2 linked regions of the Canis lupus familiaris genome follow. The protein of the gene in region 1 binds, or shares a complex with, the protein of each later gene. Links are inferred from orthologs where the notes say so. Each region holds a gene or a part of one and is shown on either strand. Other genes may lie near its edges.

Region 1 (3,543 bases):
TGTGCAGCTCTGACGCTGGGTTGGACTGAGAGAATGCCATGTTCACGTGTCCTCCTTCCACAGCTGGTCCCCTAGTGACTCGACCAGAGAGCTCCGCAGCCGTGGGCTTCTTGGCAGCTTTGCCAGAGGAAGTGGAAGGCAGGGGAGGCGGGGCAGCTGGATCTGGCCCTTCCTCCCGTTTAGCTTGTGGAGGAGAGACGAGTAGAGGAGGAATTCCCTCAGGGTCTTGGGGCCTCATGGGCACCTTCTCCTCCTCTTCCATGAGTGGGCCATACTCTACGGGCAAAGCAGTGTTGATCACATCTGGGTCCTACAGGCAGGAGAAACAAACGGATTACGATGTTGAATCACAGACCAAAACTGCTGGATCTGGAAGCTGATACCTTACTGATGGTCTCATCCAAACTGATTTTACACGTGAGGAGACCATTCAGTGTTGATTGGGGATATTTTAATTCAGAGGCACCAGGGAATAGGAGATGAATAGGAAATCATCCTTTTATCGGGCCCTGGAGGAGGCGCTATCAGAGGAAATCAAGAAGGCTCAGAGGACCAGCTGCCCCTGAGAAGAAATGCCGGTGGTGTCCTCCCTGGCGGGGGGTGCTGCCCGCCTCTCCTGCTCAGGCTGCCACAGCTGGTGGACCCTGGCCTCTCCCCATCTCCTGGGAGCTGGGGTGGCCTCCAATAAAAAACTGCTGGGTTAAAAAAAACAAAAAAAGGACGTGGAGGGGAAGCACTCGTCTAGAGGTGCCAGGTGCTGGGATGCAGCCAACCAACTGCCTGGCTTGGGTGTGTGGGATCAGGGAAGACTTTGCAGGGAACCACCTTTGGGAAAATCTGACAGATTCATGGATTTAAAAAGATTATAAATCAGTTAAAAAAAACTTATCCCAGTCTGTTCCCAATAAACTCCCTGCCACTGAAAAGAAAAATCTGGGTGTTTGACTTCAGGTCGGCGTGTGTGTACACATGAGGGACGAGGGGAGGGGAGGAGAGACACACTGTTGGCTCACAAGGTTTCTCTCTTCTCTTCCTAGCTACCTTCCATTTTCATATTTGGATGGGCTACACTTGATTATCATGTTTGCTGTGTTACATCATCGTATCGTTCTGTGTGCAGAAAACACAGTGGTTCTTTATCTGGTCTGGACCTGACCAGGCCCTTTGTGAAGCCCAGGAAGTCCTGCAGTGCTATGAGGAAAACCACTTACAAAAACAACTTTGTGCTAGATCATTCTTAAAGCAATGGATATATAGAAAAGCAGAAGCAGTTGCCAGAGATATGAAGAAAATCTGTGGAAGGAAACTCAAGCTTGGGGGAATTTAATTCTTTAATATTTTATGCAAAATGGGAAAACCATTGCGTCGGTGTAGCAGAAGAGCACTTTGGTCCAGTATTCATCAGTAAAGAGTATAAGAATAAAAATACCTTCTGCTTCTCTTATTCTTTAGTTCCTTCCCTGTTAATTATTAATCTCTATGGAGACTCATTAGAAATATGCTTGTACAGAATTACCTGCTTTTAAGAGGGACGTTATCCACTTGGGAGAAAAATGACTCCAAAGTATATGTATTTAAGTGGGTATATTCTATTAGAATTACAACATAACAACCTAAGATGCCATTCACTGAAGAGCAAGTTTTCTGAAAGAACCCTACATAACTTGATAAATGAAGTCCATCTAGATAAAGGCCCATCTCCGCACTTCTGAGCTGAAGTTGCTGGAAGAGCAGGGCGGGAGTGCTAGGAATGAATGATGTGGCTTGAACACGTATTTGGCTTCAGTCACAACCAGGATGGGGCGATTTGGGGAGGTAGTGGTGCCTGGCCCGACTTCTGAAATACTCTCTGGAGTTAGATATCCTGGCAGAATGAGAGCCAAGGGAGGGAGAGAGGCTGATGTGTGGAGAGGAGATCCTGCCTGCGGAGGGAGGGAGGGAGGGTCCCCGGGGAAGCTGGTGGTGCAGGTGCAGGGGCTCCTCTGAGGGAGGGGACGGCCCCCTCCACTGACTGGTGGGGAAGATGGTGAGAACGGACGTCCATGCATAGACAAGAGGGTAATGAATTCTCAGGCTCTCCTCTCTTGAAGTAGGAGGCAGGGTCTGCTAAAATGGTGTAGAAAGGGAGAATTTCGAGTTATTTCTGAAGGAAATGGGAGAAGGATCTGCATAGGGACCAGTGGTACTGCTAGGAAACCGTGAGGCTTGGAAAACCTCTCTAAGCCTCAACTCATCTGGAAAAGGGGGATAGTTTATGTATCTCCCTGAGGACAAAATGAAATAGATGAAAAGTGATCTGTATATTTAGATGCTGTACTAATGCTATTGATAATGTTAAAATTTCTCCAGCTTACTTTGTTCCTCCCTTGAATCCCTCTAATATTTATCATTGAACCTCCCATTTAACAATTATATACGATTAATTATTTCACATTAAAAAAAAAATTATTTCACATTATTATCTCTCTAGCCACACCATAAGCTATTTGAGAGCACATGTTTCCCATATTTCTCTGAAGCTCCAGTTTTGTCTAAAAAACCATTACCTACCCAGGAGGCATTTAGTTTAAGCCTTGTGATTTGAACTGATTCCCTAATGGTATTGGGTGTTCTGCAGCTGTGTCATGTTGTTGGCAAAGGAAGAGGTAATAATTAGCATTTATTTACAAAATGGGCAAACCGAGGGACCAGTTGTCTTACTATAGATAAGCAATCATCCTCGTGATTATAACTCACATTTTCTGGCTGGCTTAACTTTCATTTCACAGTTTGGTATTTGCCATCTTTTCCATATAAATGCTGGTTCAAGGGGGAAAATGTTTATACCTGGGTACAGTATTCAATCCTCTCCAAAATAATGGCAAAGTTGGGCCTATCTTCAGGCTGATGTTGCCAGCACTGGGTCATTATCCGGTACCTAAAAGAAGAGTAAATACGCTAATTAAAACTAGGAGAACAGGGATGCATACATTTTTCCCAGCATTTTTCTAAGGGGGACCAGAGGAGGCAGTCTTTGAGTGACAACTTATCTAGGTCCCATGTGGTTGGCATCTGCTGCCCTCTGCTGATGGGCCAAGGAATCGTGCCCAGGTGTAAAGGTACTAGAACACCAAAGCTCATTAACAGACATCCTGCTGTTAACGTGAAATCTGGCTCCTCTCCTTCCATTTCTGAATTAAAGTCACCTCTGGGGAAGAATATTCTAATTATATTTCCCTTCTGCCTTGCTTGTGCGAAGGAGGTGAGTGATGCCAGGCAGGACAGCAGAAAATGCAGGGAATGGGAATATTTAAAGGAGACTTAAGACAGATGGTGTTGGGCAGCAGGGGTGGAGTCTGGGACACAGATTCCTAGGAGGTGTTGAGGAGTGGGAGCCTGGTGAGTCCACAGTCTCCAGCCAGACAGTAGATAACTTTACAGACGTGACATTACTGCTTTCGAGGACTTGGAAGACTGACCCGCCTCACAGAAGTCACAGACACACCCCTATCCTGGGGTGTATTAAAAGAGGTCAACCCCTCCATCTTAAAACAAAAAATGCAT
Region 2 (4,526 bases), about 23 Mb from region 1:
AGCCCACTTCTCCCTCTGCCTGTGTCTCTGCCTCTCTCTCTGTCTCTCATGAGTAAATAAATAAAATCTTAAAAAAAAATACATATATATATATATATATGTGCACATTGAAACAATAAACATGAGAAGGGGCTCTGGCCCCTGGAATGATGATTAACTCTCAGACAGAAGCGGGAAACAGCTACGTGCCAGGTGCACTGGGCATGGACGACCTGGTGGGCCACAGCAGAGCTCGCAAAATAAAATCAGCTCTGTGGGACGTGTGTGCGGCGGCCTCCCAGGGCTGAGCCGCGCGGCGAGGGCCCCCAGGTGGGCACCCAGCTCCGTGTCCCCGGCCACCTTCACCACACATCTGTACAAGGAGCCGCACACACGGCAGCGGCGTCGATTTGGGGGCAACTCTGCTGCCTCAGCAGAAAAACTTGCACTTCATATAAAGTGGCTGATTTTTTTCTTTTTTTTTTTTTTTTAAAATCAGGGCAGGGCAGCCTGGTGTGGACGGTCCCCGAAGGCAGCTGGCAGGATGCTAGCGTCCCTCCTGTGGGCCTCCCGTGAGATAAAAGTCACAAATAAATGGGTTTGGGGCTCTAACCACTGTCACTCCAGCTAGCGTGTCACCTGCCAGCACTACACATTTTATGAAGAGCACAGCAGCCGCTTTAGGGAAATAAAATACATTCTGTTACAGAGAAACCATCAGAACGCTGTGCTGAGACTGGACTGAGGGGAGGTGTGCGTTTCCAGGTCGGCGGTGAGGCCGAGCGGGGGAGCCGCGTCCAGGGAGGCTGGGGGGCCCCGGCCCGCAGACTCGGTCCACCCCAGACCATTCCAGTGTGCGGTAGTCATCCTAGCAACTCATTCTTGATGCTTGTTTGTCATATTGAGCAGATACAAATATAGACGACATCAGGCCAGAATTCATAAACAGAACAAGAATGTGAATGGAGGAGCTCGGCCCACTCCAAGACATGATTAATTCCAGCAAATGTAAATAATTTTCCATTTGGCACTAGCTGCTGCAGAACGCGGCCGCCTTCTGCTGCGGTCTGGTCACCCCGACCCTCGCTGCATCGTTAGGAGGGAGTGCGTATGGGCAGGCGGGAGCCAGGGGGGCGAGCGGGAGGCCGCGGGGACGGCGCACTTACATGCGGGGACGGTGCAGTCCCTGGTGTTGTGGTACAGCCTGTGGAAGTGTTTGCTGCACTTGGGACTGAAATAAAGGGGGCCTGCAACGAAGGAAGCCGATGGTGAGTGCTCGCACGATGTGGGACCCGGACGCAGGTAACGGGATGAGGACACTCACCTGTAAGGTGCTTTAGAAACTTGTCCTTCATCCTCAGATCTCGAGGAACAATTTCTGTTTGAAGGGAAAGAGGTTAATTCTCGCATGGCTTGCTAGAAGCATTTTTTTTTTTTTCCCGTGAGATCGGAAGGAATGTCAAAGAAAGACTTTGGAGACCCTGTGTTAGCCACGCGGCAACGCACTAAGTACAACAGGCTGGAGCCCCTGCGACCGTTGTATGGGACATAATGTGAAGATTCGTCATCGGGAGCACATTTTTATTCAGACAGAATATTAGCTCTTCCCAGAGCTTCAGTACTACTTGTCTCTGCCACTGGCACGAAGACAGCGACCGTGAAGTCACGTAAGGGTGAAGGGCTGTGTGTGTGCATGTGCGCGTGTGGACAGACATTTGCATTTTGGGCAGCTTGGTAGGCAGATCCCACAAGCTCTCAAAGTCTTAGAATGAAAACCCAATGCTTCAAACAAACAAAAAATCGTTATAAAACTGCTTTTTTTTCTAGGTCTATATTTAGAAAACGGATTAAATGCCTTCACAACCACCTGTTATGAAGGCTGGTGTGCATGCATGCAAATAGACAATTACCTGGTTTTAAAGTGAGATTCCCGAAAGACAGTTGTCTTTCTACTTGGGAACTAGCAGGGCTCCCACAGACCTCCTCTGATTCCAGGCTTTGTGCTTGCTTTTTTCTTTTTTTTTTTTTTTTTTGCAGTCACCTGTAACCATTTTCCACTTGCTCGTTCTGGATGCTCACTTTGCTGGGGCTACGTGTGCACGCACCTTCCCTGGCCACAAAGACTCCTCGTCTCAGGAGGGCCTGTCTCCTGTGAACCTCACTCACTTGTGCGGCTCAGACGTCTCCTGAGTGTCAGTCTGTATAAAACTGACCTTATCACATTTGACCTAATTGTGTCAGGAAAGCATTAAAAGCTCTCCTACTTTCCTTGGACATTTCCCAGGAGGCACCCACTCTGGGAAGGCTCGGCCACGGGCGGGGGGGGGGGGGCGAGGGGGGCGGCCCCGAAACGTTTCTGTCTCAGTTGAAAGTGCTTTGCTGAAAATATTTCCATTTCCAAAATAACAGCTGACAGCTCTGTGCCAAAGCGCCGGACCCAGGTAACCGCTTGGGGGCCCGGCGGTGTGCGGACGGCGCTAGGCCAGGCCTCCCCATTCACCCACCTCCCATTTTCTTCGTTCTTTAAAATAAAAATCGCCTCTTTTTTTTTTTTCTTTTTTTGCAAACAGTCGGCATGGTTCTATGTTGCTAAGACAGACGCGTTTCCCCAGGCAGCGCGAGTCCCAGGGCCCGTCCCCGCGGGCGCCCTCGGGGGGGACTCACCGACCCTCTGCTCCTCGGGGAGGGAGCGCCCCGCGCCGTCCGACTCCGACAGCTCCCGGCGGCCCAGGCCCGGGCCGTGCAGCCGCTTGGCCTCTCCCGCGTGCGCCTTCCTGAGCTCCTGCAGGATCTCCACGACGAGCCGCAGCAGCGAGCGCCCCGCGGCCGCCTGCCCGGGCTCCGTGCCCCCGGGCCGCGCCGCCCCCAGCACCAGCAGCAGCGCCAGCAGCAGCCCCAGCGGCGGCCCCAGCGGCGGGAGCCCCAGCGGCGGGAGCCCCGGGCCGCGCATCCTGCGCTCCTCGCGGCGGGCGGCGCGGCCTGCGGGGACCCGCGCGGGTCGGGGCGGGCGGGGGCTCCAAGGACGCCGGCCCTCGCCCCGCGCCCCGGCCCCGCCACTGGGTCCCCGGGCCCCACGCCCGGCCCAGGTCCCCGCCCCCGCCCGGCCCCCGCCACCCGCCGCCCCGCGCGCCCTCCCCGCGCCCCCCCCGACCCTCCCCGCGCCCCGGCCCCGCCACTGGGCCCCCGACCCCCGCCCGGCCCAGGACCCCCCGCCCGGTCTCCGCCACCCGCCGCCTCGCGCCCACCCCGCCCCCCCCCCCCGGCCCCGCGCCCCGCCGCGCCCCCTGCGCCCCTCCCCGCCGCCCCGGCCCCGCCACTGGGTCCCCGCGCCCCCGGCTCTGCGCCCCTCCCCGCCGCCTGGTCCCCGCGCCTCCTGCGCCCCCCGCGCCCCTCCTCGCCACCCAGTCCCCGCGCCCCCCGGCCGGTCCCCGCCACCCGGTCCAGGGCCCCCCGCGCCCCCCGCGCCCCCGCCGACCTTTCCAAGTTTCGGGGAGACGGCCCCGCCGCCTGCACTTGGCTGCGCGCGGCCTCGGCACAACTTTCTTCACCTTCCGAGCCGCGCGGCGAGCGGGGCCCCGGCGGGAGGGGAGGGGAGGGGGCGCCCCGCGGGGTCCTGCCCGCGCCCGACCTGCCCCTGCCCCTGCCCGGCCCCGACCCCGACCCCGCGGCCCCGCGCTCCCCGTGAGTGGGTGGGGGCCGCGCCCCGCCGGGCGGCTGCGCTCAAGTTTCCAGCGCCGCCTTTGTGTGCCGGACGCCCCCGCCCCCGGGGCCCGCACCCCGCACCCCGGACCCCTTAGGACCCCCGCGCCCCCGCCCCCCCCAGAACCTTGGCGCCGCGGCGGGGCAGCGGCTCACACCTGCGCGGGGCACCTGCGCGTCGGGCCGGCGGGGAGCGCGGCGTCCTGGCCCCGCTAGTCCATGGCCCGCGCCGGCCGGAGCGCAGCGCCGCAGCGGGGACCGGACGGGGCCCGGGACGGGGCCGGGGCCGGGGCCGGGGACGGGGCCGGGGACGGGGCCGGGGACGGGGACGGGCCGGGCGCCGCCGCCTCTTATCCCCGCGCCCGCCGACGTCAGGCCGGTCCCCGAGGGCTCCGCGGGCTTTAATTAGCAGCCGCTCGGGTGTTCGAGGCCCGCGCGGATCCCCGCCAGCCCCCCCGCCCCGCCGCCCCCTCCCCCTGCCGCCCGCCCGCCCCCGCCCTGCCTCCCTCCCCGCCTCCTGCTCCGTCATCCCGCCTCCCCTCCCCCTCCCCCTCCCCCTCCTCTCCCTCGTTCTGTTTCCCTCCGTTCCTGTCACTTGTGACAGGATGAGAAGAAACGCCTTTACCAGGAACTCAGATCTGTTTTTGTCTAAATGTAGATCTTGGGCTATTAAAAAAGGAGCCGCCTGATTGCCTCGGCATTTAATAAGTCGATTAGAGTCGGGTTCGGGGAGCCCCGCGCCGCCCAGGACGGCCCCCAGGCCCGCGGCCCCGCGGACGCCCCTGCCCCTGCCCCGGGGACCCCCCGCCCCGGGGACCCCCCCCACCCAGCCCCGGGCACCGCCCCCC

The links.
Region 2: the proteins of ALK (region 1) and ALKAL2 are in contact, whole or in part, in a cryo-EM structure (PDB 9G5I), measured with the Homo sapiens proteins. The link is inferred for Canis lupus familiaris from reciprocal best matches to the Homo sapiens genes ALK and ALKAL2. Residues at the interface, in NP_004295.2 of Homo sapiens: Leu684, Tyr739, His755, Ser758, Leu760, Phe856, His857, Glu859, Leu965, Tyr966, Thr967, Pro968, Leu970, Lys971, Val972, Met973, Glu974, Glu978, Asn980, Val992, Glu994, Cys995, His996, Met997, Phe1007, Asp1009; in NP_001002919.2 of Homo sapiens: Ser112, Lys113, His114, His116, Arg117, Leu118, His120, Asn121, Thr122, Arg123, Asp124, Arg133, Arg136, Leu137, Arg140, Leu141.

The regions. Positions count from the first base shown.
Region 1 is NC_049238.1:23,041,169-23,044,711, forward strand, and holds part of ALK (ALK tyrosine kinase receptor), read right to left. Parts: intron 2,918-3,543; coding exon 2,827-2,917; intron 1,445-2,826; exon of another isoform or gene 1,156-1,444; coding exon of another isoform or gene 1,038-1,155; intron 311-1,037; coding exon 1-310. UniProt on the Homo sapiens protein: Neuronal receptor tyrosine kinase that is essentially and transiently expressed in specific regions of the central and peripheral nervous systems and plays an important role in the genesis and differentiation of the nervous system.
Region 2 is NC_049238.1:266,369-270,894, forward strand, and holds the start of ALKAL2 (ALK and LTK ligand 2), read right to left. Parts: upstream 2,930-4,526; coding exon 2,644-2,929; intron 1,358-2,643; coding exon 1,304-1,357; intron 1,227-1,303; coding exon 1,146-1,226; intron 1-1,145. UniProt on the Homo sapiens protein: Cytokine that acts as a physiological ligand for receptor tyrosine kinases LTK and ALK, leading to their activation. Cytokine-binding is sufficient to activate LTK. In contrast, ALKAL2-driven activation of ALK is coupled with heparin-binding to ALK.